4 linked regions of the Nothobranchius furzeri genome follow. The protein of the gene in region 1 purifies or fractionates together with the protein of each later gene. This does not show direct contact. Links are inferred from orthologs where the notes say so. Each region holds a gene or a part of one and is shown in the gene's direction. Other genes may lie near its edges. The genes, in order: ppm1kb, dbt, bckdhb and bckdha.

The links.
Region 2: the proteins of ppm1kb (region 1) and dbt purify together in Homo sapiens (affinity purification with mass spectrometry; 4 studies listed by BioGRID and IntAct, counting the BioPlex papers as one, with this or other methods). This does not show direct contact. The link is inferred for Nothobranchius furzeri from reciprocal best matches to the Homo sapiens genes PPM1K and DBT.
Region 3: the proteins of ppm1kb (region 1) and bckdhb purify together in Homo sapiens (affinity purification with mass spectrometry; 3 studies listed by BioGRID and IntAct, counting the BioPlex papers as one, with this or other methods). This does not show direct contact. The link is inferred for Nothobranchius furzeri from reciprocal best matches to the Homo sapiens genes PPM1K and BCKDHB.
Region 4: the proteins of ppm1kb (region 1) and bckdha purify together in Homo sapiens (affinity purification with mass spectrometry; 4 studies listed by BioGRID and IntAct, counting the BioPlex papers as one, with this or other methods). This does not show direct contact. The link is inferred for Nothobranchius furzeri from reciprocal best matches to the Homo sapiens genes PPM1K and BCKDHA.

Annotation. Positions count from the first base shown.
Region 1 is NC_091744.1:11,911,428-11,918,978, reverse strand, and holds the end of ppm1kb (protein phosphatase Mn(2+)-dependent 1K), read left to right. Parts: intron 1-898; coding exon 899-1,064; intron 1,065-2,930; coding exon 2,931-3,075; intron 3,076-4,969; coding exon 4,970-5,104; intron 5,105-6,641; coding exon 6,642-6,773; 3' UTR 6,774-7,160; downstream 7,161-7,551. UniProt on the Homo sapiens protein: Serine/threonine-protein phosphatase component of macronutrients metabolism.
Region 2 is NC_091748.1:80,630,393-80,636,568, forward strand, and holds part of dbt (lipoamide acyltransferase component of branched-chain alpha-keto acid dehydrogenase complex, mitochondrial), read left to right. Parts: intron 1-5,404; coding exon 5,405-5,482; intron 5,483-5,551; coding exon 5,552-5,743; intron 5,744-5,825; coding exon 5,826-5,897; intron 5,898-5,976; coding exon 5,977-6,144; 3' UTR 6,145-6,176. UniProt on the Homo sapiens protein: The branched-chain alpha-keto dehydrogenase complex catalyzes the overall conversion of alpha-keto acids to acyl-CoA and CO(2).
Region 3 is NC_091745.1:53,279,744-53,288,519, reverse strand, and holds part of bckdhb (2-oxoisovalerate dehydrogenase subunit beta, mitochondrial), read left to right. Parts: intron 1-5,664; coding exon 5,665-5,805; 3' UTR 5,806-5,817; intron 5,818-7,235; 3' UTR 7,236-8,776. UniProt on the Homo sapiens protein: Together with BCKDHA forms the heterotetrameric E1 subunit of the mitochondrial branched-chain alpha-ketoacid dehydrogenase (BCKD) complex.
Region 4 is NC_091753.1:46,803,487-46,812,262, reverse strand, and holds part of bckdha (2-oxoisovalerate dehydrogenase subunit alpha, mitochondrial), read left to right. Parts: intron 1-3,504; coding exon 3,505-3,681; intron 3,682-3,766; coding exon 3,767-3,853; intron 3,854-3,929; coding exon 3,930-4,038; intron 4,039-4,749; coding exon 4,750-4,911; intron 4,912-4,988; coding exon 4,989-5,195; intron 5,196-5,331; coding exon 5,332-5,473; intron 5,474-8,776. UniProt on the Homo sapiens protein: Together with BCKDHB forms the heterotetrameric E1 subunit of the mitochondrial branched-chain alpha-ketoacid dehydrogenase (BCKD) complex.

The DNA of each region.
Region 1 (7,551 bases):
ACGACAGTTATCCAGAAAGTAGCTAAGGGTTACCAGAGATGTTTCTGAGGTGTTCGCTAGGTACTTTTAAGATTTAAAATGTTAAGAAGGGGGTCTGAAAAGCTGTTGGAAATAGCGTCAAAGTCGCCAAGTTGGCAACACTGTGGGAGGAGCGCTTCATTTGCAACTCGGGGCAGCGCAAGAGAGAGGAGCAAATAATCGGCTTGTTTTGTTTTAATAATCATTCAAAACTCAGATCGTAATCGTGATTAAAATTTGATTAATTGAGCAGCCCTATCTGTAGCTAGTAATTATATTATGAATCTGTTAAGAAGAGGGTGTCCTGCAGGCCCACAGTTTTCATTTTAACGTTTTTTATCCTTTAAGGAAGAACATTGGATTTGTTTTTATTAAGAAAACAAAGTTTGCCAGACTTAAATGATTGTCAGAAGACTCAGACGTGTGTGATTGCTTTACCAGTTACGATAAAGAGTTAGTGTTATGAACGGATTCAGTTTTATTGTGATTCATTATTTTTTTGTTCTGTTCTCAATGTTCTTATGGACATTGTGAAAAAAAATGTTATTCTGTTATGTTACGTTTGTGTTGCTCTTAATGAATCAAGGCCGACGTTGGACACCTGTGACTGTTGTGGGTCACTTTATAACAAGTGCTAAGATTCATTCTTAGACTAAACTGTTATAAAAGTTGTTCTGAATCTCGGCTCCGTGCAGCAACAGTTCCATCTGCATGTTTTTGTTTTTTACTGTGTAATCTGTAGTCTGCTCTAAGTCTGTAATGACTTTCACACTAACGTGTTTGTGTCTTCTTTGTGGTTGGGAGGTATACCATTTGATTGTTCTTTTGTTTTTGTTCACATTTTCTTCCATGTCTGATGGTTCCTCAAATGTCTTTGTAGGACCAGGAATAAACGCAGGAACCACCGCCACCGTGGCCCTGCTAAGGGATGGCATTGAACTGGTTGTCGCCAGTGTGGGGGACAGTCGTGCCATGTTGTGTCGCAAGGGAAAGGCCCTGAAACTCACTGTCGACCACACTCCTGAGAGGAAGGATGAGAAAGACAGGTAAATGATGTCGGCATCCTTTCACTAATGTAAAACTTGGCTCTACTGAAAATTACTTTGATGAAGAGATGTATAAATTGGACATTTTTGTGAATAATAAAAAAAAAAGCATTTTTGTTTAGCTTTGCTTATTAGGGAAATTTTTGCGTATTTTTGTTATGGAAGTCCAGGATTTATTTAAAAAGGTTTTAGCCAAAACTAAAGAAGAAATCCAACAAAGAAAAGGTTTTCTCAACATTGGTTCTCAGCGCCTCCCTGGCCTACATGTTTTTCATGTTGCCCTATTCAAACACCAGTGTTTCCCCTGCTGCCACATACCTGACTTAAATCAGTGAGTGATTAACAAACTTCTGTAGCACTTGACGTCATCCTGAGGAAGCACTGCAAACACGTAAATCAGGTGTGCTGAAGCAGAGACGTGGAACACATGTGTGGGGACCAGGGTTGAGAAACACTACCTTATGCTACAGTAGCCCCATGCTATAGTAGTCTTTATACTATAGTAGCCCTTAAGCTATAGTGTGGCCCCATGTTCTAGCAGCCCTTACACCATAGTAGCTCTTACATGATAATAGCCCTTAAGCCTAATTTATACTTCTCCGTCAGCTCCATGAGGGAGAGACACGCACACACGGACGGAGGCAATTTGACCTCATTCTTCTCCGTTTCCTGGGGGGTGTTGCAAAGTAATTCCCTGGCAGGACAACAGATGGCATAGTGCTGTTCTGTGGTATCCTGTCATGTATCTGGTCCAAGATGGTGTGTTTTTATAGTGTTTTTTGTGTTTCAGTTACTCAAACTCATTAACTGCCATTGATGACAAAAGTCGTCATTTTAAATACAACCGTTCACTGCCATTGATGACTTTGCATTTTTTTACTGTGTGGGCGTGGGAATGAGCCCCCGCACCGTGAGAACAAACATCCCAGGTCTAAAGCTGATCTCCACCCGCGTACATCACACGTCTCGTGATCAGGAAGCAGAAAATCTGTGTTAGGTCGTTTTGGGCTGCTGCTGTAAAAAAAAAAAGAAAAGAAAGGAAAAAAAAAAAGTAAGGCGCGAACTGGAAAAGCAATTCGGCACGGGATTACGAAAGAACGGATAACACTCGAAACACGCAGAATCTTGCTGATGTAAGAGGTGAGTCTACTCTTTGTTTTGGTAGTTTTGGCATTGACATCATAGAGGGCAACGTTCTGTGACTTAAAAAAAATCCTGAAACGCTGGCTGCGCAGGGCTTTTCTGATCAGGAAACGGCTGGCAGTGAATGAGGTAACACGGACAAACTTGTCCTTCATCCTCCTCCACCTCTTCATGCGCTTGCCACCTCTAAACCCACATTTCCCATAATTTCCATCCATGGATAAAATGCTTTCCGCATATCTTTTCACTCTCTAGTCACAGTGTAGTAAAACATTCATATTTTTAGAGTTTTTCCACAAGGTATTCTTCAAGCTGCTCCTGTGTCTGCCACTAGGTATCCTTGGCTCTCTTTGTTTTTGAGGGCGCTGTACACGACAGCCGCGTCCTGATCAATCACAAGCTTGCGTTCTCCGTCTCAACAGACGGATGTTTAAAAAAGAGAGCTCGACTTTGTTCGTTCTTGCGAGGGCTCTCCAGCAGGCTCGCAAGGACAGATAATGGCGTTGTGTGCATCCTCCCCAAGGCAGAAAGAGAAGTATAAATTAGGCTTTACTCTAGAGTAGCCCTTAGGCTATAGTAGTGTGTGTGATGAAATTTTTCATATTTTTCATTTTGAAATATAAACAAATTTTTTTAAATGTCTAACCAAGGTGAGAAAGCATTGTTCTATTTCTGTATAAAACAAAAAAAAAAGCTTTCTTACAAATGTACTGTGGTCTCAAGGATAAAAAAAAGCGGAGGGTTTGTGACATGGAATAGCCTTGGACAGCCGAACGTTAACGGGAGGTTGGCAATGACACGCAGTATCGGAGACTTTGACCTGAAGAAGACAGGGGTCATCGCTGAGCCAGAAACCAAAGCAATGACGGTAGGAGGTTTATTGATAGTTCATTTTAGAACTGAAACCAGTCATTTACACTGAACAAAAATATAAAAGCACCACTTTAGTTTTTGCTCCCATTTTTCATGAGCAAACATCTGAAAAATTGTCTACATACACAAACGTCTTATGATTCTTAAATATTGTTCTGAGATTGTTCTATAGCGAGAGTTCGAGATAGGCGGCCACCGATGTTGCGGACCGAGTCCCCTAGAGAGGTCAACCGTGCAGAGAAGTGATGGAACAGAAGAAATGACACCCCCAAAGACAAGCATGCAGTGAATAACACGACAGAATCAGCGGAGGACCAGGAGTAAGACACTGGTTGAAACCTGAGACTGGGATCTGCCAACAACTCACGCAGCACTCTGTTTACCACACCAACCCGAACCATGGTTGGACCACTGAACGTAACACAATCCACCGTAGTTGGAGAAAGAGCAAAGGAGATGTTATCATAAAAAGGAGAAAACTCCACAACAGACTTATGCTCACCAGGATCCAAGTAATATCGAGAGACCTCACCTACATGGACCGTAGCACTACGTGGAACTGTCACCCATAGGGTTTGAGATGGAAGCACAACACGTGTGGACACACCATGACGCTCATAGAAAACATCCGCTTCACGAGCAGGGGTATTAACTAACCAGCGTTAACCAACAACAACAGCAGTAGTTTGAACAACATGCAAACGTGGAGTCACAGTCATAGGACATTTGGAATCACCCGACAACCCATCAATGCCACACACAGTGTGCCTGGACACAAGAAGTGTAGGCCACGTGTGAGCGAACACACGCGCGTCCAGTTGGTGTGAGGAAGGCAGGCTCTGATTAAAGGGACTACGGGCAGACTTCCAGTCTCCCGTGAGGGGAAAGTATTGTAGGTTGTGTCATAGCCAGGTTAAATTGACCTAGCTGTAGATCTTGACCTGTGGGATCTCAAAATCAGGCCATTTCGTGACGTTACACAGGGCAACACATCTCCGTCACATAGAGTTGATCAGGTTGTTGATTGTGGCCTGTGGAATGTTGGTCCACTCCTCTTCAGTAGCTGTGTGAAGTTGCTGAATATAGGCAGGAAGTGGAACAGGCTGTTGTATACGCCGATCCAGAGCATCTCAAGCATGCCCAATGGGTGACATGTCTGGTGAGTATGCTGACCAGGCAAGTACTGGGATGTTTTCAGCTTCCAGGAATTGTGTACAGATCATTGCAATATGGAGCGATGCGTTATCATGCTGCATCATGAGGTGGTGGTCGTGGATGAATGGCACAACAACGGACCTCAGGATCTTGTCACGGTACCTCTGTGCATTTGAAATGCCATCAACAAAATGCACCTTTGTTCATTGTCCATAACATATGCCTGCCCATACCTGTACCTCGCCGCCACCATGGGCCACTTGTTCCACAACGATGACATCAGCAATCTGCTCATCATCACAGACATTCCTGCAGTCAGCATGACAGTTGCACGCTCCCTCAAAGGTTGCAGCATTTGGCATTGTGCTGTTTGATCAAACTGCACATTTCAGGGTGGCCTTTTATTGTGGGCAGTCTAAGGCACACTTGTACATTATTCAAGCTGTCTAATCAGCCCCTTGATATCAGCCCCTTGATATGCCACACCTGTGAGGTGGCATGGGTTATCTTGGTAAAGGAAAAGTGCTCACTAACACACATGTAGACAGATTTCAGAACAATATTTGAGAGTCATGGATGTTTTGTGCATGTAGAAAAAGTTTCAGATGATTGAGTTCAGCTCGTGAAAAACGGGAGTAAAAACAAAAGTGCTGTTTATATGTTTGTTCACTGTATTAAATTTGTTTTCAGAAATGTCCAGTTGTAAATTGTAAAATAATTGTTCTTTTCCTCAGTTGCATCATGTCCATGACTCCTTCCTGGCTCTGACCACAGATGGGATTAACTTCATTATGAACAGCCAGGAAATCTGTAACGTTATCAACCAGTGCCACGACCCCAAAGAGGCCGCTCAGAGAATCTCTGACCAGGTAGAAAAAAATGGACCGTGTGCGTAGCACTGGAATTTCAGCTGTGGCGCAGCGTCACGCCTGAGTTTATGTAGGGGAAACACTGCCTTAAGTGTATGTCCTTTTAGCACATACAGGTCCTTCTCAAAAATTAGCATATTGTGATAAAGTTCATTATTGTCTGTAATGTACTGATAAACATTAGCCTTTCATGTATATTAGATTCATTACACACAACTGAAGTAGTTCAAGCCTTTTCTTGTTTCTAACATTGATGATTTTGGCATACAGCTCATAAAAACCCAAAATTCCTATCTCAAAAAATTAGCATATCATGAAAAGCTTCTCTAAATGACCTATTAACTTTATCATCTGAATCAACCAATTAACTCTAAACATCTGCAAAAGATTCCTGAGGTTTTAAAAAAAACTCCCAGCCTGGTTCATTACTCAAACCCACAATCATGGGTAAGACTGCTACCTGACTGCTGTCCAGAAGGCCATCATTGACACCCTCAAGCAAGAGGGTAAGTTTTCAGTTTTCAAAACAAAACTCAAAACACATATGTTTAAATCTGCCTACAACCTCTGATTTTATTGAACTGTTTCTCTCTGTTTTTTTTTCTTGTTTGGGTTTTATTATTGTTTTATTGTATTACGTGTTTTCTGTCAAGTGACCTTGGGTGTTCTGAAAGGTGCTTTTAAATAAAATGTATTATTATTATTATTACATTACAGACATTAATGAACTTTATCACAATATGCTAATTCTTTGAGAAGGACCTGTACAGGTTCAAGAAAATCAATAAAAATATGAAAACGTTGCATAGAATGGATTTATGCAGGCTTATCATAAAAATTGTGTTCTACACCTATTAAAATGTAATGGTTTACTGTGGAACATGGACAATGTGGTGAACTCTGGTGTTCAGAGGTGGTGTTGCAGCAACAACTAATTTTCCAGCTGCTGAGATGTTGGTTCACTGCTGACACGTTCCAGCACCATGTTCAGAGACAAATATCATAGGATAAGGACTAATTTCTACTAATATGTTAATTTTACAACAGTATTCACTGTTAGAACATCTTCTGGGCCCAGAATCAGCTGCTTGACTTGTCAAGTCTGCCATTTTACACAGTCCCAACCTTGACTTGCCGAGTGGACTTTTCAGTGCAACGGTGCCCTCTAGTGGCTGTTAGATGTAAACGTCAACCGTGTTGTGCCCGACAGAATGGAAAATTTGATTTATCTTTTTTAAATATAGCTTTAAAAGGAGAAATTTTACATTCATTCTGCACACCTCTGAATGCCCCATGGAGTTATTATTCTTTTTAATATAGCTTTTTATTAAAATGTTCCATATTCCAACTTAAAATTAGCTCACATTTTTCATTTTAAATATGAGCAAATTTAAGTTAACTTCATTTATGTTTTGTATTTCAGAGGATTTTTGAGTTATTACTGAGATAAAATCTGTCATGGATTCAAGGACAATGTAACTGAATCATACATTTGGCCTAAACCTTATTGGTAAAATGTTGTTTGTGTTATTCTCAGGCTCTTCATTATGGCACAGAGGACAACAGCACAATCATTGTGGTGCCATTTGGAGCTTGGGGAAGACACAAGAGTTCAGATATCAGCTTCTCCTTCAGCAGAAGTTTTGTGTCCAGCAGCCGCTGGGCCTAGTCAGCAGGCCTCTGGGTTAAGAGGTGTGGTGTGCAGAGCCAGCTAACATGTGCAATACATTCTACGCCCTGGAATCAACCTAACGATAGCAGTATGTTTGAACAAGGATGCCTGAGGGGTATGATGTGTCATTTAAAGCAGCTTCTGCAATGTAAGGAGCAGCAAACTCATAATGTGCACCAAATTTAAAAAATGGTTTATACTAGCAAACTAATAAGTACCGAAAACTGGGAAGAATTTAAAAGCAGACATTTTTATTTAACAATAATAGTCTAAAGCAGATGTTTAATGTTGAAATAAAAAAATACCTAATTTTATAGAGGCAGAAGGTTTCACCTTTGATGCATTTCCAATATTTACAGCTACATTGTTAGAATAGTAGAAAAATACACCATCTGATACTTAATAATTCTAAAACGTTTTGAGCAGAAATGCAGTCCTGAGTTAAATCAGCACATTTTGATGCAAATCATCAAAATAATTTTTAGAAGTGTGATTTGTGAGTGTGCGTCCTCCACTCAGGCATGTCAGGCACAGAAGACCCTTTGTTCTGGCTTTGTGTCAGAGCTTAGTGAATAAACAGCGATGATTCATTTAAACCCTCCTCTCCCAAAACAACATCGTCTGAAAGGAGAGTTATTTAAACACAAAAGGCACAGAAAGTATTCCAGGTGCTAATTTTACATCTGCATCATCGGACCAAATTAATAATGAATTTGCTTCTCAGTTGATGCAAAGTAAAATTAAAGCCAAACAAGAATGACACTTAAATGTGTTT
Region 2 (6,176 bases), on another chromosome or scaffold:
GGGTCTCATTTATCAAACATCCTTACTAAAACCGTACTTAAGCTCAGCAACACAAAAGTTCTTACACCAAGCAGGTGTGTTACCTATCAAACATGGAGGACACACAGCTGCACGCAACCTCCGCTTCATAAATCAGAGACTAACCAGAATGGTTCTCAGCTGCTTTTTAGTCACATCCCGCTCTCACCACGCCCACTTACTGCCATAAATGGTCAATGCAAAGTGCCTTGTGGACCTCATGCATATACATAAGCCGGCTGTTGCAGCGCTCCACCAATGACATGGCGACCGTAGATCAAGGCAGATCAAGGAAGCGCTATTTCACAAGCAGAAGTTGAGGTACCTGTGGGTGAGGTGGAGAAATGAAAGGAAGTGCTTTTGCAAAACAAATAAGAGAAAATCCACGGAGTGGCACAGCGTTGCTGAAGCCGTCAATGCTGACTTCTTCAGAGAGATCTGTGGCGGATATAAACAATGGTCCAATCTGAAGGTGGAGGATAAAAAAAAGATGTTTTGCCACCGCCAGAGTGTGTCTGCCACTGGCAGTGCCCTGGCACCTCTGATGCCCCACCGCTCCGTTAGGATCTCAGCAGTACTCGGACCGGAGAGCGTGCGTGGCATCGTGCCGGAGAAGGAGGGAGACACTGACCATGTAGAGGAGGCTGGTAACGTGCAAGCCTTTTATTAATGCAGATCAAACGTGTCCGTCATGAAAACATAAAACAAAACCTTATCTCGTCCCCCCAGTGACTCTGGACCAAGCGTCCAACGAGGCGACCGAAGGTGTGGCTGCAGGGTCGGCCTGTCTCACCAGTGTGCCTCGGGCGCATGGCGCACCTGGAAGTGGCCGGGTGCTAACTGACGCCGTCCTGCAGCCACAGAGGGACACGATTAGTGCGGAGAACGAAGTGCGAGAAGAACCGCACAGAATATGTGGCGTCCTGCTGAAATTTCAGGAACACAAAGAATTGGCAAGAAAATAAAAGATGGACATCATGCCTTCTGTGTTGTTCTATAAATGACGTGTGACAGGGTGGAGAGACGAGGGCCCGGCGGGATTCGATCATCACCCTCCCGGGTGAGAGTCACGCGCTCTAACAGCCAACCAAAGGGACATCCCCATTGGCCAAGTAGAAGAAGAAGAAGATATCATTTCTATAGCGCCTCTCAAGATAAAAATCACGAGGCGCTTCACAAAAACAAAAACATAAAAATATAAAAAAGCATTTAGAAAATGTTTAAAAATATATTTAAAATGAGCAAAAAAAGACAATTGTGATTAAAAAATGTAAAGACAGAGAGAGAGTGAACAGGAAAGAGGGAAACCAGTGGATCCTGAGGAAGGTGGAATAGGTGGGGAGAGCAGAATAAAGAGAGAGAGGTGAAGAAGGTCGTACAAAAGCCAGCTTGAACAGGTGAGTCTTCAGCTGCTTCTTAAAGGAGACCACTGAGTCCACTGATCTCAGGCTCAGGGGGAGAGAGGTCCAGAGTCTGGGGGCCACAGCAGCAGATGATCTGTCACCTTTGACCTTTAGCCTGGTGCTGCACAACCAGTAGGCTTTGGTCACTGGACCTCAGGGACCTGCTGGGGGTGTAGGGACTAAGAAGATCACCAATGTAAGATGGTGCTTGTCCATGTAAGGCCCTATAGACCAGAACCAGGATCTTGAAATGAACCCTGAAGTTGACTGGCAGCCAGTGAAGCTGGAGGAGAAGTGGGGTGTTGTGGGTGTGTTTGGAGGACTTGGTCAGAAGCCGAGCACAGGCGTTCTGAACCACCTGTAGACGGTTCAGGGAGGTTCTGCTCAGACACGTGAAAAGAGAGTTACAGTAGTCTAAGCGTGAGGAGATGAAGGTGTGGAGAACTGTCTCAAGTTCAGAGCGTGACAGAATGGGACTCAGCTTAGCAACGTTCCTGAGATGGAAGAAGGAAGAGCCAACAAGAGAACTGACATGAGAATCCAGGGTGAGAGCTGGGTCAAAGGTCACGCCAAGATTCCTGACGGAAGGTTTGGTGTGGGAAGCAAGCTGACCAAGAGAGTCTCTGACTTTGGGAACCAGCTTGTCTGGGGCACAGATGAGGATCTCAGTCTTATCTTCATTCAGCTGAAGAAAGCTCCCACCATCCAGGTTTTGATAGAGCCAGGGCGCATCATCAATCAGGTCACAGTAACAGGACACACACTGCCACAGACGCATGATGTTATGTCCCATTCTGTATTCTGCGCTTCAGCCTGTGTGTGTGTGTGTGGGGGGGGGGGGGGTGCTCTCCATGTCCAGTGTGTGTAGGCCAGGTCCTTAGTCAACTTAAAGTTGTACACATTTTTCCGCTACGTTTTCTTTCATAAATCCCAAAGCAGAGACGAATCATGACTCAGCAGAAGACGCCTCAGAGAAAGAACTGGAGACACTTGAACAACAAGTAGTTACCTTTGTGCTCAGTAAGAATATAACTACCCATAAAGAAGCTGTATGTACACGTCACACTCTGCCTACAACTCAGAGAACACAAAGGAACATGTACTGGTGCAAGCTAAGAGGGTTAAGATGAAATCTTCATTTAGCTAAAAACTAGTTACACAACCAGATCAGAGGCCTCACGGGGTGCTGTGAGTCAGTAGTGCATTTTTAATTGTGCTTTAAAAGCTTCAAGTGTAGTTGTGAGTCTTAATTCCAGTGGAAGGCCATTCCACAATGTTGGGGCGCGACTCTTATGTTCAGGTGGTGGAACGACCGGTAGGTTGTTGGCAGCGGAGCACAGTGATCTTGAGGGGGCGTGTTTCTGCAGTAGTGATGATAGATGAGGCGGCGCAGTCCCTGCTAGTGACTTGAATGTAAATACCAGAATCTTGACCTCAATGCAGTGTTTTAGCAGAAGCCGCTGCAGTGCATGTAATACTGGAGTGTTACATTTGTTCACTCCGGTAATAAACCTTGCTGCAGCGTTCTGAACCATCTGCAGCTCTGACAGTGTGGAAGTGGTCAGACCGACATACAGAGTTGCAGTAGTCGAGTCTGGAAAGCACAAATGCAGATGTTACGATCTCAAGGTCCTTTCTGGATAGCATAGGCTTGATCCTCGCAAGGCGCAAGGATGGGTTAGGGTTAGGGTGAGGGTTAGCATGATCTCACTACAGAGTTCACCTGTGCATCAAAGGTCAGTCCAGAGTCCAGTCTCACACCAAGATCAGTTACCACTTTACGTTCAAATTGTGCTAATGATAAGAGGTCTATGCTACATGGCTGATGGCCATTAGGTGACAAAACTATGACTTCAGTCTTGCTCTCATTACAACTGAAGAAGTTGGTCGACAACCGTGAACGCACGTCTTCCACGCATTCCACCAGAGACTTAATGAGCCAGACAACCCCTCTCTCACTGGCAGATAAATCAGGCAGTCGTCGGCATACGACTGGAAGTCAATACCGCAGCTGTGGAAGATCATGCTGAGTGGGAGCAGATAGATTGAAAAGAGCAGGGGACCCAGAACAGATCCCTGAGGGACCCCCCATTTCAGCTCTTTCTGAGACGATAAGTGATTACCTGTAGAAACACTCATAGTTCTACCAGTCAGGTAGGACTTCATCCAGCTCAGAGCTGCTCCTGAAATCCCCACCCACTGCTCTAGGCGTTCCAGCAGAACCTGATGATCCACAGTGTCGAACACTGCAGTCAAGTCACTAAGCAGCAGCACCACCGCCTTCCCAGCATCAGCTGCCAGGGACACGTCGTTGGGCACCTTTAAGAGAGCAGTTCCAGTGCTGTGCCCAGATCTGAATCCAGACTGGTGTGGTTCTAAGATCTCGTCGGTGGCCAAAAATAGACAGAGCTGATCATAAACTGTCTTCTCAAGGACTTTTGAACTGAAGGGAAGGCGCGAGATTGGCCTGTAGTTGGAAATAACTCCTGGGTCCAAAGCTGCCTTCTTTAGCGGGGCTTCACCACCGCATGTTTCAAAGTGTGGGGCACAAGGCCGTGACTGAAGCTGCTGTTTATGATGGACACTACCGGAGGAGCCAACACTGGAGAAACCGTCACACGGGGAACCTGATGGCTTCATTCTGGAGACCAGCTTCAACACATCCGACACAGTAAATGAGTCTAATGTGGCTGATAGTGGAGGTGGAGCCAGAGGGGTGTATAGTGGGTCATGTACCAGAGAGGCTCTTGCTGTTGCAGGTTTCTCCAGACAACACCTGGAAGTTCTCACAGCTCTCAACTGAGTCATCCATTGTAGTAACCATTCCCTCCGGGTCCAGCGCTGAACTCAGTGCTGGTCACCTGAGGCTGAAGAAATAATGCCAGCAAAATAGTTAATTTTAGCCCTCTTACCTGCCAGCTAGGTCCGAGCTAGCTTGGACCTAGCGAGGCTAGCTTGGACCTGAACAGCTCTAAAGAGATTTGAAGTCTGTCTTTCTTCCACAGCCTTTCAGCCCTCCTGCTGTCACGTCTCATGTGTCTGATTTCCTCTGACGTCCAACCTTCAGATTTTCTCCCAGACTTGACATCAGTGAGGGGCGCAGTCTCATCCAAGACTGATGCACATAGCAAGTCAAAACGATCAGAGAACAACTGTGGGTCAGGCGGGACTGAGTACTACGAAGGCCACTGGTTGGAGACAACCACAGAAAACATTAAAAGTATTAAAAACCAGTGGAGTTTTGGCACCGCTGGTCATACTACAGGTGGAATAGTGATGTCACAACCAAACCCAGGTGCAGCATGGTCAGAAAATCTACCACACTGGTATTGCTAGTCCTCTCGTTTGGGAGTCCTAAGTCCAGAGTGTGGCCGTGCTTGTGTGTGGGCCCGGTCCTCCACCAGCTGTTTCTCAGGGCAGCACACATGCATGTTAAACCTCCCAGAACTAAGACATGATCAGAATTGTGCATAAAAACTGACAAAAGTTCTGAAAAGTCCAATGTGGCCGAAATAAGAATTCCTAAAACTGTAGAGTCCAGTCCAAAATCCAGGAGGCATGGCTCGGAGCTTCAGTGAGTCGAGCCGTAAGAACCGGTTCACTTTACCGGACCGGACCAACTCTATGTGTATAGCACCGTTAAAGACACGGCGTGAGCGCTGAGCAACATGCTGAACAGGCAGGATCAGTTAAAGCACTAAAATCATAATATGATCACATGAATCTCTAAAACCGTAGGATTTTAAGTCGGATCAAAAACCCGCAGAGAGGACGCCAGCCTGACTGTAATGGAGGTCAGAGCACGCTGCCCCCGGGCTCTGACCTCATTTAAGGTCAGCGGGTCACTCTAAAGAGCCGGAGTTCCCATCACTAGTGAGCGTGGCTTTACATTCTGGTGCACCTTTAACCTCACCCCTGATTGGTCCAGAGGTCCTGAGCCTCAGTCCTGGCTTAGTGATAACCGTGTGCTCTCGTTGGCTCAGGCTGCCTCTCTGGGTCTCCTTCACTTCCCCATCCTAAACGCCTCGGTGGATGAAAGCTGTCAGAACATCACCTACAAGGTAATTCCTGGTGTTCACTGGTTCTGAACAGGTAGCTGGGTGGCTCTGACGGTTCTGGCTGCTTCTCAGGCATCTCATAACATCGGGCTTGCAATGGACACCAGCCAGGGTCTGCTGGTTCCCAACGTGAAGAACGTTCAGCTGCTCAGCGTGTTCGAGATCGCCCAGGAGCTGAACCGCCTGCAGGCGCTGGGGGCTGCAGGTCAGCTGGGTGCCACCGAGCTGAGCGGGGGGACGTTCACTCTGTCCAACATCGGATCAGTGAGTCCAACCGCACCGCAGTACCGCGTTCTACTGCAGAACCCGACCTGAAACTAACGTGGTTGTCTGTGATTGGAACCAGATCGGAGGGACGTACGCCAAACCGGTCATCCTTCCTCCTGAGGTCGCCATCGGAGCCCTGGGAAAAATCCAGGTGAGATCTTGTGCTGTGATCCCAAACGGGAACCAACGTGAGCGGATGTTTCTCAGGCCCGTTCTAACTGTGTGTCTAGGTTCTGCCCCGGTTTGATGCCAGCGGTGAGCTGATTCCAGCTCACATCATGAAGGTCAGCTGGTCAGCAGATCATCGCATCATCGATGGCGCCACCATGTGTCGCTTCTCCAACCTGTGGAGGGAGTACCTGGAGAACCCGGCCTGCATGGTGCTGGACCTGAAATAAACACATTCCCCATCAGCCCCGGGGTGAGCGGT
Region 3 (8,776 bases), on another chromosome or scaffold:
AGACACAAATAAATAACAGAAAGTATAAAAGGATATGAGCCGGCATGAATGACCATGTGTTAAATATGTTTTTTGAGGTGGCAACTCTTTGAGAATATTACTGTGGCCATGCTCAGTACGCAGCTGTCTGGAGTGCATCAACAATCAGAGCTCTGCACCTCTCAGCTCAAAATAAACCCCGGAGAGTCCACATAAAGTAATTTAAGTACAACCAGGATCTTTTTCGGGCTCCCCCTGGGTGTCCCCCTTGTTCTGGCAAGATCCGGCTCAACCCCTGGTTTTACTACAATTTAAATGAAAAGTAGTGATATGTGTTTCAGCAATGCCAGTCACGTACTGTGAGAAAAGTTTATAATTAGCATGACTACAAATCAGACGTCAGTATGCCGCATATTTGACGTTACCACAAAATATCCTCTCCCCTAGCATAGCTGCTACTTACCACATGGCCAGATTCATGGTGTTTCTTTCCTCCTGAAGAAGGATTTGAAGTTCGCTTATTTAACAGCCATTTTCCCTTTGTTTTTCTCTGTGTTTGGTTTGATGACATCACTTTTGTGATGCGCATTTGTATTCCTGGATTTATTTTCACACAAAATAACGTTTACCCCTGTTAAAAAATAAGCGCTTTCTTGGTATCAAAATGTGTCTTTAAAATTCACGGACATCATATGTGAAATCCATGGCAAGCGGGATTAGAAAATAGCGTTTTTAGCCTCATTAACTTGCATTCATTGTTTTCGTTCTTCTGGGGAACCATGGTCTGGATGTAGATTTATATCAAAATTTTAGTGTTAAAATTGCTCAAATGACTTTATTTTATTGCTGTAACTCATTTTTTAAACTTTCCCTGTGCTTAAAAATGTCAATGCAAATTGTTACAACAATTTCATTGAGTATAAGCAACCTATTTCATTTAAGTCAGAATAACTTGGACATGACAACTCCAGTTTTACAGTCAAAAAAAGTGTTTATTTATTTTAACCTTTGTATTAATATTTTTATTGCAATCAAGCACTAATATTAGAAGAAGGACATAGTTGCAGATGTGATCATTGCTAAAGCCCAGTCTAAATATCCAGTTTCAGTGCAAAGTGTCAGCACAGTACAGAAACCATCTCATCATCCCATCACTCAATCAACTAGTGAAAAATATACTTACTTAACTTAAACTATAATGTACTTTAGTACTACTGGAATACATTTTAAATGTAAACAGCGTGATTAACCGGAACATTTTGTGTTTCTAATATTTCTGTTAGCCCTTTCCTCTTCTCCAGCCCACCTTCCTTGTTTATATTCTTACTCGTCTCACCTTTTCATTCACTGTCTTCTATTAAATGTACGGTAACTGTACAGAATAAAGTGTAAAGAGCAAAACTTGCAAAGTGTGTATGTACACTCAACATTTCCTGCTGAATAATTGGACAGCTTAACTCTTCTCATTTTTAGTACAGCAGTTTCCTTCAGACATAACCTGAGATATTAACTTTTACTAAACTTCAAGTCCATTTCAGGTGTAAACTTAGTGTACTTTAGGTAAACCTTAAAAACATTTAAACACAGTGTGTTAACAAATTACATTTCCTGCTCAAATAGTGGACAGTCTTCAGATATTTTACAACAGCAGTTTACTTTTCAGAGACATTACTTTCGGGCTTGCTTTCATGCTATCCAGCTCAAGAAATACCTTTTGAAACACTTCTAAGGTGTTTTTAGTTCCTTTGGGTAGCTGAGATTGAGTGAGTAGATCAGTCCCATTAGCAAGGCACAGGCTCTGGGTACGTCTACTTCTTCCAGGACTTCTGTTCCCTTAATTACAATCCGGGTGCTGGCTAGATCAGATGAGGCACCTCTGGTTACAATGATTTTCAACACTTCGTTGGTGAGATCCCCATCAACCTTGCATAAATAGGTCAGAATTAAGATCAGAATTAAAAACACAAAAAACTGTTAAAAACAAGACTTACAAAAGTATAGCTTTTCTGTGTCAGATTTACCCACCAACTGCTCTTTAGATTCTCCTCCTTTTCTCCAAGGTACACCACCAATCTATGGATTAAAACCTCTCTCCTCATTTCCACAGAATCATCCTGTGAATAAGATGACAAAAATATTAACGTATTCCTATATGAGGAAGGGTTTCTAATCAGGGTTCTTCTCATAATACTTTACCCCATTTCCATGACTATTTAAGTAGTTTAAAGGGGAGCTGCTGTTATTTTTAACCTGGACCTTATTTCTAGCATGCAAAACGTTCATTTACTCATCCAGACAACTTTGGTGCTATCGGAGTCTTCCGGGAGATTTTCCCCATAAGTGTATTTCCATATAATGAGATAATAAGTAATGCAAACGGCCTCTAAATAAGGCATTATCTGACACAAAATGCCTTCATTTTACTAATGTTTTGGTATAAATCGCTAGCGCTACTCACCTGATAGTTCGGAGCATTGATGTTATTATCCAGGATGTTTTACAGTCGTTTAGTACAACCAGCAGGCGCTTTACTGTCAATAGCCGGCGCTTTCAGTGGTGTCATGGCCATGCGCCATCTTAGTTGTTATATGAGCAGCATTTGTACATTTTCCTATAATTCCGTAATCAACCGTCACAGAGCACAGAGTGAAATTTCTGCTCAAACTACAACTAAGATGGCGGGCGATCGTGATGCCACTGAAAGCCCTGGCCGCTAAACCAACCTATATATATCTCAAAAAACTCAGACAGCACTAAAGTTGTCTGGATGAGTAAATAAACATTTAGCATTTTAGAAATAATGGCCAAGTTGCAAAAAACTGCAGTTCCCTTATTAATAAAAGGCAATAATGAGGTTTTTGCTCCAGGAGGAGAGGAAGAGGAGAAAATTGGGGGAGATGAGGAGCATGATGACAAATAAGAAGGGAAAGACAGTAAAATGGGAGAAAATGGAGGAAGGGGCCAGGACAAGATGGAAGAGGAGAAGACAAGGACAGGTGAAAGAGAGAGGTTTAGAGAAGCGTGGAGAAGAGGAGGAAGAAGAAGAGTATAATCCAATGAGACATTAAAAAGGAGATTAAGACATTACCAGAAAACAGATTTGTTTATGACTTGTTTCAAGTGCAGTTTCACAAATTTCAAGCAAAATCTGCCAGTGAAATAAGATTTTTTTTCCTCGTTACAAACCCTTGTTCCACTGGCAGTTTTTTTCTGTTTGATCCAAGTGACTTGAAAATAGCTTGAAATAAGTGAACCTAACTTGGAAACAAGTAAAAAACAACTTACTTTTAGGTAATGTCTCAATGTTTAAAGTAATGAGAGATTTTGACTAGAAAAATATTAAATATTCTCTGTTTGATTTTGAGTTCTTGCAGTGAAGCGTGAGAAAAAAGGGGGGAATGAGTAGAAGAGGAGTGAGGTAACGGAAGAGGATTAGGGAAGCAGCAGAAAAGGAACCGGACAGAGGAGAAGTAGAAGAGGAAGAAAAGACAAGAAGGAGGAGCAGTGGAAAGAAAAAGAAACAGAAAAAGGGGGATTTTCTATTTTATTTGAATCACATTGCAGCATCTTCATTATGCGCCAAATAGGCACTCTTGCAGCCCCTCCTCTTGAGGACACAAATGACATTATTTTTGGGGTGTACTTGTCCAGTTTTGCCATAAATGTTGCCTCCAAGTTCACTGTAGTGATTCTTCTGAATTCTTCGTTTGCCTGTATAGAAATAAAAGGAAGGAAAATAAGTTGTTTTTGTTGTTAATCTATTAATTTTGTTATCAATTCCAATACAGCGCATAATGAAAACCATTATGAAAAAAATGTTTACCTAAACTGCATCAAAAAGAGCAGGCCATCGGTTTTTTTAGTCTGTGACTGGTGGTGCCTCATTAACCACTTCCTGCCTGCAAATTGAGAACGTGGTGCAGCAGTATTATAGAAATAACTTGCCTATATGCTGTTATTTAAATTTTTGATATTGTTGTTGGGAAATCTTGCAACCAGTTTGTCCTTTTCTGAAAAAGAAAAATACAGTTAAAACCAACTCAAATTTTTTTTTATTCTGCCTATTGGCTTTAACATTACTGTTAAATATACATAAAATAATTATCTTAATTTAACTTAAACAAGCAAACAGCAAACTATTCCATACCATTTTACAGTTCCTCAAGTTATTTATAGCTATTTTTAAAATAATTATTTACAAGTTCCATCAGTTATTGTAATAAATGTCCCGGACATTTTGTGTGTGCCATCCCTCTTCCTGCTTTCACAGCGATCGTAGGTGCGCTGCAACCCACACACGTGCGCACACACCCTCTCCCAGTCTCACAGCAATCACTCTACCGGTGTGTGCGTGTGCAGCGCGCGTACATTTTTTCTGTTTTTTTAGTGGCTCGGGAGCCTGCGGGTACAGTGTGTATCTCTGAGACCCGTTTCGTTTGCGAACGACAATTCACTACATGGTCCGGAGTGCTGGCTGAGTGTTTTGCTAACCTGTAGGAAACATCAACGACAGTTTTCCATAAAGTAGCTAAGGGTTACCAGAAATGTTGCTGGGTTGTTCGCTAGCTACTTTCAGAAAAAGGTCAAAGAAGAGGATCAGAAAAGTTAGAAATAGCGACAAAGTCACTAGGAGGTGCGCTCGATTTGTAACTCAGAGTAATCCACGAGGGAGGAGCAAATAACCGGCTTGTTTCGTTTTTAATAATCGTTCAAAACTCAGATTGTAATTGTGATTAAAATTCCATTTATTGAGCAGCCCTACTGGAGGTGTGAAAAGTAATGAAAATGCGGGACTGTTCTGCACAAAGCGGGTTATCTGGTCCTTCCTCCTTGGCGAGCTAAAGACTGCTAACGGCTAGCACTTTTCCACAACATTTCCTCACTAATGTCAGCTAAAATAGATGTCTGCAAAAAGTAGAACTAAAGATTAATTTCCACAGCAGTTCTAGAACTGCAAGTTTCAGCACCTTGGAGCCGATTCTAATGCACTTATAAGTTAGCTAAGTTACTTTGAAGACATTAGCTAGCTAACTGATAGCTTAAAGCCGAGGACAAAGCAGTCTGCTTTCTAATTTAATGCTGTGTAATTGAGCGCTGATAGTTACTTGCTATTGCACATAAAATTAAGAAAATAAAGAAAAACATATTTACTTACCAATTAAAGTTAATCCAACCTTGACCTTCTTTGGTGTCTTTCCCTCTCTTTGCTGCTGGAGTCTGGCAGCATAAAATGGCCGTTGGTTTCATTTCATTCTTTGGTTTCACTCCTTGCACACGTGATGTGAAAGGCTGCTGCAACAACTTAATATTATAATACAATATTAAGTTTCAATAACTTATTACTCTTTGTTAAGTGAAGGCAGAAATGCTTATCCAAAATCACTGAATTTCTGAGTTAAGACAGCTTTCACTAGTTTTAGTTTTGTTCAACTTCTTTTCAACTTAACAAACAATGGACATGTAACAATTTCTAATTTTTATGCAGAAAATTTTTCTTGTTTTTAAGTCCTAATAACTAACCTCCTGAATCATTTCTTAGAGTGTACGTACCGAACTGAGATTATAGGTGCACCGTTTTCCCCCTACCATTCCTCGTCTGTACAGTGGTGGGGTAGAGCTGATGTGATGTATGAGTTCTATTTTAGCAGTGACAGTATGTATGTTCGTGTTTTTGGTTTCTTACAGGAGGAGTGCTTTCTTAACCTGGAGGCTCCCATCAGTCGGGTCTGTGGTTATGACACCCCCTTCCCTCACATCTTTGAGCCCTTCTACATCCCTGACAAGTGGAAGTGCTTTGATGCAATAAAGAAGATGATCCACTTCTGAAAATGCAAGCAGGTAGAGAAGATCTGTTGGCTTCTTTTAACATATATTTATTGCATAGCAATTAATTGCTATTTTACTTAGAGCCTGTTGCCAGTTTCCCTATAGTCTGTGTAATTTATTCTAGTGGTTTTAGTGATTTCAATGACAGATTGATTTAACCTAAAGCTGGTCGAATAATTTAATTTGAATCTCAATTATGATCTGGGATTTCAACAGTCTAATAAGAGATTATTTGTTTCTCCTTCACTTTTTACTCTTGCGCTGCTCCGAGTTGTAAACTGAGCTCACTTCCCACACAGCAGCACCAACTTAGTGTCTTTGTCACTATTTCCAACGGCATGTTAATTACTTTCTTTTCCTAAGAGTGCCTAGGCAACCAGCTAGTGATGGAGTTGCCATTGTTATTGTTCAATAAGTGTGTGTTAACATTAATTAAAGATTGTGTTAAATAATCGAGATCTTATATTCAATCAAAATAATCCTGGTTTTCATTTTTGTCATAATGGAGTAAGAATTAAACAAGGCCAAAATAGTTTTAATCCGTACTACTTGACCTAGTAGAGTTCGTTAATTACTTGGCACATACAGACATAGAAAAGCTGTTTGTTAAAAGGTTAGATTTTATCACGTTATTTTAGTTTCAAAATGTCTCTATTTTCTATATGTTTGTGTACTTTTAGCATGATTACTGTCAAAAATTTACTGTTCAATGTAATTTTATTTTGTTGTGTAACTAACTGTAGCTAGTTTGTTATTTAATTTTATTCTGTTGATAATGTTTGTGTGTCCAAAGTAGAGACAGGTTAAAAATGAGGAACTCTTGTAAATCACATCAGTTGCATTCAGTTTATTGAAGCTGTGTTCAGCTGTACCAGCATTCCTCAAATACATTTCATTTATTTATATAATATTGATGATATTGAGGAGAGTGTTCCTAGGTATTCTGTGTACAAAAGTTAAGGATTTTAGGTTCCTGTGACATTTTTCTACTCTTGGATTCACATCTGTATTTAGGCACACTGAACTGTAACCAGAGCACCCAGTACTGATTCTAGTGACAACTGTCACCAGGTCATGCAAGTTATGGAAATGCCTGTGAAGTTCTGTAAAGTCATAATGTGTATCTGATACCGTATGCCAGATCTGTCTTTTATTATTTGCAGGAATAATGACATTCATTAACTTGGGACAGTCGCAGAGCCACATTGTTTTAGAATTCCTTTTTAATTGTCTCTGTCATTTTGAGTTATTGCTGTTGAACTGCTGGCTTCCCAAAAAGAATGACGCATTTATTAGATACTTAATTGAATCCAACACATGTCACCTCTCATCATCACTGTTCAGCTCAGTCCAGCTCTACGTTTTCCTCATCTGTCGTCCACCATCGAGTGCCAAGTTCTTCACTTGTTGAACCATATCTCCTTCTGCAGGGCCAACTGCGGGTCAACCTCAACTCCACACTCTCCCCACATCTATTCTTCATTCATCCAGCTAGTGGAGGGCTTCCAGAAAAATGCTTTGTTGACCATCCAGTCAGAAAGCAGTATCCAGATGGCATCCATGTCCCTCACTCTGAAAGACTGTTACCATATCTCCAGATTGGAGAGCCGTGTTCTTCTGGAAGGGAGAGGTGATCGACTTTTATCAGTGGTGAAACGTAGCTTCAACTATTCTTGTAATTCACAGAAAGCATTTCCCCCCTCAACAAAGCCTGTATTTTTGTGAGACACTGTTTGGTTGAATTTGTGACTTTCTCCCGGTTTGTGTTAACTTTGGTTAAAAGTGTTCAACCCTTAACATATTGTACTGTTAAAACCTGCAACAATACAACAAAAAATTGTTGAAAATTTGTGTTTTGGTTTATTTTTTAGTGTGTCCAAATGTTTTAGGTTTTTATTTTTTCAAGCAACCTAAAAATAGCATTTTTCAAGTGATTACACGAGTGTCTTAACTTAGGTTAGTGTCATATCTGTAGCAAAGTCTACATCCTTTGTTCAGATGTAAGGATTCATGGAACAAAATCAATCATCTGGCCTTTGTTAAGTCTTCCTGATGAGTAAATGCAATCTCAGTTAAACAGTCTGACATTATTTAACAGAAACAAATGTAACTTGCTGGAAATGATTTGCAGCATTTATAGCAGCTTGAAGTCTGATCCTGTTGATTGGATACAACTAGTAACTGATCATCTTCACTGTGAATCCCTCTAGAAAAATGTCTTTTTTTCTCCAGTTTGCTGTCTGGAGTATACAGATGTATGTTGACACAATGCTTAGAAGGAAAAACAACAGCATTGGTCTGAGCGAAGCAGGTGTTACTGCCCATCATTATGGGAAGGGACGTTATGAAGGTTCAGTTAGTACCACATTCAAACCTTTGCAATTTCCATCATCGGTTACCCATGTTTTTGAGGTACAAAAACATTACAGTAAAAAGATAATTCACAACCAGAAAACATTCAAATAAGTTGGCAATCTCATGCGGTGTGGGTCTCCCAGCAGGTTCGTTCTGAGGTCTGTCGGTGCAATGTTTAAAGGAACCGTAAAAATACCCAAGAACTGCATCTTAGATTCCTCAGGCTTTAGTTAGTGTGTTAAATGGTCTAATTCAGTTCAGTCCAGTTAGAGAAGTGCTGAAGACGTTTGGCATGTTTGGAAGGGTTTCCAAGAGGAGACTTCTCAAAGAAGCAAACGTTGTTATTGCCTAGGCTTACAAAGTTGCGTATAAACAAACCAATAGACCTCTGGAAGAATGTCCTTACAGACGAGATGGAGACATACCTACCCAAAATGCACTGCACAGTGTTTAGTAAAAATGTAGCCTGTCAGAGCAACCACCTCATACCAAGTGTTGTTTCTGGTGGTGCCTTTTCGTTGATCTGACGATTTGAGTTTGATGTGCAGCCACAGATCCTGGACATCTTTCAGCCACAGAGTTGGCCACAAACTCCTCTGATCTCTGTATTTTGGGG
Region 4 (8,776 bases), on another chromosome or scaffold:
TAGCAAAGTTCATGAGGTAAAAATTAGAATGAAACATTTTGAACACGCTTGACCTGTTAAATTATCGCGATACCTGAGTGTTAGCAGGTTATGCTAACAGATTCGGAAGCATACAATTTTCTTTTTTGTCTCTCTAAACTATTGCAGACAATCACAGTTACATGTTCACGGATGGATACCACATTGTTGTGTTAACGTTATGCGTTTTTTGTTTTGTGTCTGACGATCTTTGCCAGCTGGCTAAAGTTTAGGTTAGCTTGTTTCCAATTGGTCGAGTGAAGGGGCGTAAGGGATAAACCAGTCGGGCCACAAGTTTGTTTAATACACCTCCTACAGGTCATAATCATACAACAGCATCATGAGATGAATACAGCTCATAGTGCTGTCGAAAATTGCACCACTAAAGTAAACAAAGACGGCTTAGTTATAAAAGGTTTATAATTTTGAAATGCACTTTTACACTTTAGGATTGCTTGGCGGTACAGTTTGTAACATTGATGTCTAGGAGGTCACAAATTCCATGACCTGCATGTTTGCAACACCCCCACCCCCGTGCATGCGTGAGCTTCCTCGTAGACTAAAAACACGCATGTCAGGTTGAAAACTGTCCCTAGGCGTTTGAACGGTTCTGTGTGTCCCTGCACTAGAGACCTTTATCAGTTGTATTCAAATGCAGTGCAGTAATTGTCCAGCAGCATGCTCACACATACTTGTTTAAAGATGTGGAACACTGAGAAAAAATACTTAAAACTTATTTCTGATTATAATCAGTCACTCTTGAGTTTTTCATGCAGGCTGAACATGAAAACAATCTCCTACACCTATCTCCTGCATTAGCTTTTGCTAGAAAATACACAGTGAAAATCTAGGATTAGAAAATCCTGACAGATCTACATCACACTGTCACTGAACGTTCCTGAACCCACCTATCTTGACTCACGACAGGGAAGGCTGTAGATGGTTTAGCGCCCAGGAAACCGCAGAGAACGACTTGGCAAGTAGAAGCTAACGTTAGCATTAGAAACTCCCCCACACAGCAGAACTCCTTTAGGCTAAAGCTTGGTTTATGCTTGACGCGTCCGCGAGGTCCGCGCTGTGAAATTGCGTCATTTTAACAACCACGGCCCAAAATTTCCGCAACGCGCACCTATGAAAAAATTCTAACCATGCGGACGGTCGGACGTGGAAAAACATGGCGGACTGGCAAGAACTAGTATGGCAGAGGTTCGTAAATACAGACATTTGTATGATTCAGCTCTCAGAGATCACCTTGATCAACGTGTTGTTAATAAATCTTGGAGAGAAATAGCTTGCACTGTCGGAAAAGACGAGGACGCTGTTAAAAATGCTGGAATGCCATGTTGTAAACAACAGTAATTTCTACTATGGTTTAGTGTTGGATGCATGCCGTAGAGCTTCATGCTGCCCCGTTCAGTTTGGGAGAATATTGGCTCACCGCAGAGACAAGCCGCGTGAACCATAAACGCTGCGAGTTGTGAAGCGCGTTCCATCCGCGAGCCGCATCACCAAGCGGAAAGTGAATGCGTCAAGCATAAACCAAGCTTTAAGGTATTTGTGGAGATAAAACATCCACATTGCAAGTCAGTGGTAGAGTCATGTTGCTGTTATCCAACCCGAGGCAGGATGTTCCAATACAAGGAAAAAAGATTCCAAATCCTGCGCTCTGAAGCTCAGCTGGGATGTGGCTCACTTCTAGTTCCTGAAAATGGCACACCGCTGTTTTTCCCCCCAGAATATGACATACAAGGTATTCATTCCTACTAGAGACCACTACAGATGTATTGATTAAACAAGTGTTCAATACCTTTAAATCTGGATGGTGACTTTTCTTGCACTTGACAAAATTTGTGAAGGACACGTCTAAGCAGGAAGCACAACCGCTACAGAATATAACCTCTAAACTGTAAGTTAAAATAACATTATTATGATTGTACGATTGTATGTCTGTGTTCTTTATGCTGTTATTTCTGGTCATTCGGTATATTAAATGGGACAGCAGTAGCAAGACACCCACCTTGCCTGCTGGTAGTGGTCAGAGGGACTGGTGGTATCAGTGTTTGGCAGGATTCGCCTCTGTCAGCGCTCGCCAGGGCAGCTGTTGCTACGTTGTAGCTCCTCATCACCAACGTGTGAATGGATGAATAACTGATTGTCTTGTAAAGTGCCTTGGGGGTTGTAGAACCCTAAGAAGGCGCTATACAAATACAGGCTATTTACCATCTTCCTAGAAACTCAAATTTTCTATTATTATCCATTCTTTTATTTGATAAAGGTTACAATAGTAGCCTACTGCCTTTGTGTATTTACCTGTATTATTTAAGTGTATGTGCTGCCTTAACGAGTGAATTTTCCCTCTGTGGGATCCTTAAAGTCTATTCTGTTCTAACTTAACCACACCTTAAGTCTTTCACCTACTGATTTAGCCTAACCACAAACTAAAGCCTTTAGGGACCAATTCTTCTTTCACCTCACAAAACCATCTATTCAAATAGATGCAATTTTAGTAGGTCATGTTTGTTTTACCCTCAACATACATGTGGAAAATTTAAATGGTCAAATGATTTGTTAACAAGGCACTCCCTCACCAGCCTGCAGCACCTGTGCTCTTGAAATTGGCCAAGTATTATTTATTTAAGATACGCTTCATAAATGTCCAGAACTTGTTGATATTTTGCGTTCAAATATTTTACCCTGTAGATTAGGGCTGGGCGATATGTGTTTATCAATATCACGATATATCGTGGATATTGATAAATGGACAATATTGATATCGATAAATGGACGATTACTACAGGTATGCGCAGAAACAAAAGTTGTCCACTAGATGGGGCTTTTATGTGACTCAAAGTGGTACAGCTTCTTAAAGGGACATGAATGTTTCCAACCTACACACCTCTTTTCATTTTTTTATTATCAAATTTATTGACATGAGAATAATTATTTTTGATAAGAGTCAGAAATTTTGATAACGATACATTTTTTATTTATTGCCGAGCGCTACTCTAGATAAAGGTTATAGCTCAAACTTTAATAAACCTATCATTTCAATTCAGTTTATTTATATAGCGCCAAATCACAAGAGTCACCTCAAAGCACTTTGTAAACATTCCAATTGAACCTACAAATCAGTGTACTGAGCTCAGTTCATTATGGCAATTAGGTAACATTTTTATATCCACGGAAACCCAGCAGAAGACATCGAGTCACTAGCTTATTGTGTCAGTTACTTTACAGCAATCCCCAAACTAAGCAAGCAGCGACAATGGAAAGGAAAACTCCCCTTTAACAGGAAGAAACCTCCAAAAGAAGCTGGCTCAGTGTGAGCAGCCGTCTGCCACAACTCACTGGGGGTTTGAGAAGATGGAGCACACACTCTTATTTCATTATATTCCCTCTCTGTGGTGTGATGTCACGAGGAAATGTCCATTTATAGCTGCTGATTTGTTGGTGAGTCTTGTTTTTAAAATCTTTGTTAACTTCCAGGCGGCGCACCAGCAGCAGACTTTCGACTCGTCGCTGGAAAAGCCTCAGTTCCCCGGCGCCTCGGCCGAGTTCGTGGACCAGCTTGACTTCATCCAGCCCAATGTGATCTCTGGGATCCCGGTGTACCGGGTCATGGATAGGCTGGGGAAAATAATCAATCCTTCTCAAGACCCTCAGGTACTCTTTTCTGCCTCCGTTCTGGATCGTTAAAATCACACATGTTCTCCCGACAGGCTAAAAAAGTATGTTTGTGTTTTTTCAGCTGTCCAAAGAGACGGTTCTAAATTTTTATCAGAAGATGACGCTTCTGAACACGATGGATCGGATTCTGTACGAGTCTCAGAGACAGGTGTGTTTTTTTTTTTTATGAAAGGTGAATGAAGTGTATTTTTTTTTAATGAAGTGGTATTTTGTTTTGGTTGCAGGGCCGAATATCCTTCTACATGACTAATTATGGTGAGGAGGGGACACACATTGGCAGTGCTGCAGCTCTGGAGCCCAGTGATTTGGTTTTTGGTCAATATAGAGAAGCAGGCAAGTGGTTCTAACGTTGTCTCCGAGTTTTCTGGAGTGGTCCTTTTCTCACTCAAAGTGTAAAACGGCTAAAATAGAAAGTAATCATTACTTCTTTTACTTGTCAGTCAGCAATTTGTTAAACACATTTTTGTATTTTCTATTGTGACGCTATGCAAAGCATTGAGTTGTTGCCTCCAGTTGGTCGAACAGCTGATGCAAATTGGTTGCTACTTTTTTTTCATTTATGTAAGCAAATCAGACACATTTTCAGGATTTCTTAAGAAGAAAAGAAAAAAAATCACATTTGGTAAATCTGCTGCAAACAGTTACTGATGCATCAAATCTAAATGGCCTGTATTTGATATAGCGCCTTCTAGAGTCCTGGAACCCCCCAAGGCACGTTACAACACAATCAGTCATTCACCCATTCACACACACATTCACACACTGGTGGGGATGAGCTACGATGTAGCCACAGCTGCCCTGGGGCGCACTGACAGAGGCGAGGCTGCCGAGCACTGGCGCCACCGGTGCCTCCGACCACCACCAGCAGGCAACGTGGGTTAAGTGTTTTGCCTAAGGACACAACGACAGCGACGGACTGAGTGGGGCTCAAACCTGCAACCTTCTGATTACGGGGCAAGCTCTTAACTCCTGTGCCACCGTCGCCCATGAAACATTTTATGAAGGTCCTTGAGTTCGGTGATAATTTCCGCGTTGCTCAAACAGGAGTTCTGATGTACCGTGGTTTCCCCCTGGACCTCTTCATGGCCCAGTGCTACGCCAACGCTGACGACCTGGGAAAGGGCCGGCAGATGCCCGTCCACTATGGCTGCAAAGATCTAAATTTTGTCACCATCTCCTCCCCTCTGGCCACGCAGATTCCTCAAGGTGAGCTTGCAGCCTTTAGTCGTTCTCACTTCCTCAGTGCAAACTTTGCTCTTCTTCACATTTGCGTCCCTTTTCAGCGGTTGGAGCTGCGTATGCAATCAAGAGAGAGAACATGAATCGGGCCGTGATCTGTTATTTCGGAGAGGGAGCAGCGAGTGAGGGGGACGCTCACGCTGGATTCAACTTCTCGGCGACCCTCGAGTGTCCGCTGATTTTCTTCTGCCGCAACAACGGCTACGCCATTTCCACCCCAACCAATGAGCAGTACAGAGGAGATGGCATTGGTAAGCCCGCTTTGGTTCTCTTCTCCGATTTAAAGGCTTTTTTTTTTAAACTATTCTTATTGTCATTTGGTTTTAAGTTATGAATAATGAACGCCCTGTAAAATACTCAGTAAAATCCTGTTATTTTGTCTACCAGCTGCTCGTGGGCCAGGTTACGGGATGCTCTCCATTCGTGTTGACGGTAACGATGTGTTTGCGGTGTACAACGCTACAAAGGAAGCGCGTCGCAGAGCTGTGGCTGAAAATCAGCCTTTTCTTATTGAGGCGATGACCTACAGGTCGGTATGAACTATAGACTTTGTTTTTTCTCCAGACCAGGTCTAGTTGTGTGTTTTGTTTTGATTTCTCCATTGTTGCAAAATTCAATTCAAGTTTTTTCAATTCAAGTTTATTTATATAGCGCCAAATCACTACAACAGTCGTCTCAAGGCACTTCAAATAATAAACATTCCAATACAAGTCAATTCATTAAGCCAATCAGAAAAAAGTTTCCTATATAAGTAACCCAGCAAATTGCATCGAGTCACTGACTAGTGTCCACTAGTGGCAGTGACTTTACAGCAATCCTCACACTAAGCAAGCATGCAGCGACAGTGGAGAGGAAGGCTCCCTTTTAACAGGAAAAAACCTGCAGAGCATCCTGGCTCAGTATAAGCAGCCATCCACCACGACTCACTGGGGATCGAGAAGACAGAGCAGACACAGACACACACACACACACGCACACACCAAATAATGTTTCTATGGTTACATTGTAATTTCTTAGTAAATATTCTATTTGGTGAGAGATAAACTTTATTTATTGTTTTTATCCTATTGAATCTATAATTAAACGGGTAAACTAGTAGTAGCACATTAAATGTCAAGGAAAGTCAAATGTTATTATCAGGAGAGGGAGAATGTTTTAAGTGTTTAGCAACAGTGTTCAAGATGATGGCCCCCTCCATGAGGCTACCACAGCTAAGCAGAACATCATTGTAGCTCCTTCTGGGGAGAAAAACACTTAGAGAAAAAATAAAGTTAACAGCTGAAATTGCAGGAAATACAGTTAAAGAGCAGATTGTAGAAGAAAGTTGTAAAGTGTGGAAAGTGGTCAGTGTATCCTACAGCAGTCTAAGCCTATAGCAGCATAACTACAGAGATAACTCTGGATGACCTAGCCTTTTAGATGTAGGCGTGTTGGAGGCAGGTCAAGGGAGAGTCATCTTTACCGACTGTACACTCCACCTCCTACTCCCCCACTTGTCCAGATTTGGGCTAACATCAGATTTTAACCATAGGCCCTATCAAATAAAAATGTTTTAAGCCTAGTCTTAAAAGTTGACAAGCTGTCTGCCTCACGGACTAAAGCTGGGAGTTGGTTCCACAGGAGAGGAGCCTGATAACTAAAAGATCTCTCTCCCATCCTATTTTTAGATATTCTGGAAACCACCAGTAAACCTGCAGTCTGAGAGCGAATTGCTTGGTTAGGAACATATGGAACAATCAGGTCACTGATGTATGATGGAGCTTGATTATTAAGAGCTTTATATGTGAGAAGGAGGATCTTAAAATCTATTCTGAATTTAACAGGCAGCCAATGTAGGGAAGCTAAGACAGGAGAGATATGATCTCTTTTTTAAATTCTCATCAGAACTCTAGCTGTAGCATTTTGGACAAGCTGAAGACTTTTAACTACATTCTGTGGACTTCCCGAGAGTAATGAGTTACGGTAATCCAGTCTTGATGTAATAAATGCATGAACTAGTTTTTCAGCATCACTCCTGGGAAGGATACATCTAATCTTAGCAATATTCCGAAGGTGGGAAAAGGAAATCCTACAAACCTGTTTAACTTGGGATTTGAATGGCATGTCCTGGGCAAAGATAACGCCAAGGTTTCTTACTTTGTTCTCTGAGACTAATTTAATGCCATTTAGGTCAGGTGATTGACTAAGCAATTTCCGTTTCTGAATTTCAGGTCCAAAGATGAGAACTTCAGTCTTGTCTTGATTTAAAAGCAAAATGTTTTGAGTCATCCAATTTTTTATGTCTTCAAGACAAGCCTGTAATCTAACTAGCCGATTAGGTTAATTAGGGTCAATGGATAGATATAACTGAGTATCGTCAGCATAACAGTGGAAGTTCATCCCATGCTGTCTAATGATTTTACCAATTGGGAGCATATATATAGTAAAAAGAATTGGTCCAAGCACTGAACCCTGTGGTACTCCACAAGTAACCCTGGAGTATGAAGAAGATTTGTCATGTATGTTTACAAAATTATATCTATCAGACAGGTAAGATTTAAACCAGCCTAGCGCTGTTCCTTTGATCCCTACAACATGTTCAAGCCTTTCTAAAAGAACATTGTGATCAACTGTGTCAAAGGCAGCACTGAGATCTAACAAGACTAGAACAGACACAAGATTCTTATCTGAGGCCATGAGAATATCATTTGTAACTCTCACTAATGCAGTTTCAGTGCTGTGATACTCTCTAAAACCAGACTGAAATTCCTCAAACAGAGCATTAGTGTTTAAATGCTCACATACTTGGATGGCCACTATTTTCTCCAGGACTTTGGATAAAAATGGAAGGTTAGATATTGGTCTATAATTCATTGGGTCATCTGGATCCAGAGAAGGCTTCTTAAGTGAAGGTTTGATTACAGCAACCTTAAAATCTTGTGGTACATACCCATTTACTAAGGATAGATTGATTATATCTAGAATGGGGGCAGTAACCAAAGGAAATGCTTCTTTAAATAATTTGGTTGGGATTGGATCCAAAATGCAAGTTGAAGGTTTAGATGAAGCTAATATTTTTGATAACTCTGAAAGCTCAACTGGAGCAAAACGGTTCAAACACAGATGAGGTTCTACAGTTACCTCTGATGCTGCCTCACTTACTGAGGAAGAAGAAATCGCATTAGGGAGGCTGCTAATGATTTTGTTTCTAATAGAATTAATTTTACTTGTGAAAAATCCCATGAAGTCATTGCTGCTGAGGGCTAAGGGAATAGATAGTTCAGAGCTATGATTCTGTGTAAGTTTGGCAACTGTACTGAAAAGAAATTTAGGATTATTCTTATTCTCTTCAATTAGCGATGAAAAATAAGCAGTTCTAGCTTGTTGAAGCTTATTTTTATAAAGCACAAGACTATTTCTCCAGGATAGGTAGGCCTCCTCATGGTGTAGAGCGCCATGTTCTCTCCAATTTTCTAGAGTTTTGTTTTACAGTTCGTAAATGAGAAGTAAACCAGGGAGCCAACTTCCTGTCCCTAATTACCTTCTTTTTTAAAGGGGCAACATCATCTAATGCCACACGTAAAGAGGAAGTAACATGAACTAAAGCATCAATTTGTGAAGGGCTAGAAAGAAAAATATTGCCCTCTGCTATGTTCCTCTGAGATGCTGAAGATGGTAAAGATGGAACAGTTGATTTAAAAGATGCAACAGCATTGTCAGATAGAGACAGACTATAGTGAAATTTACTTTCATGTCTCGAGAACTCAGTTATAAAAAACTCAAAGGTTATCAAAAAGTGGTCTGAGAGGACTGGATTATGTATCATTTTTTCCTGACACTCTATGCCATAAGT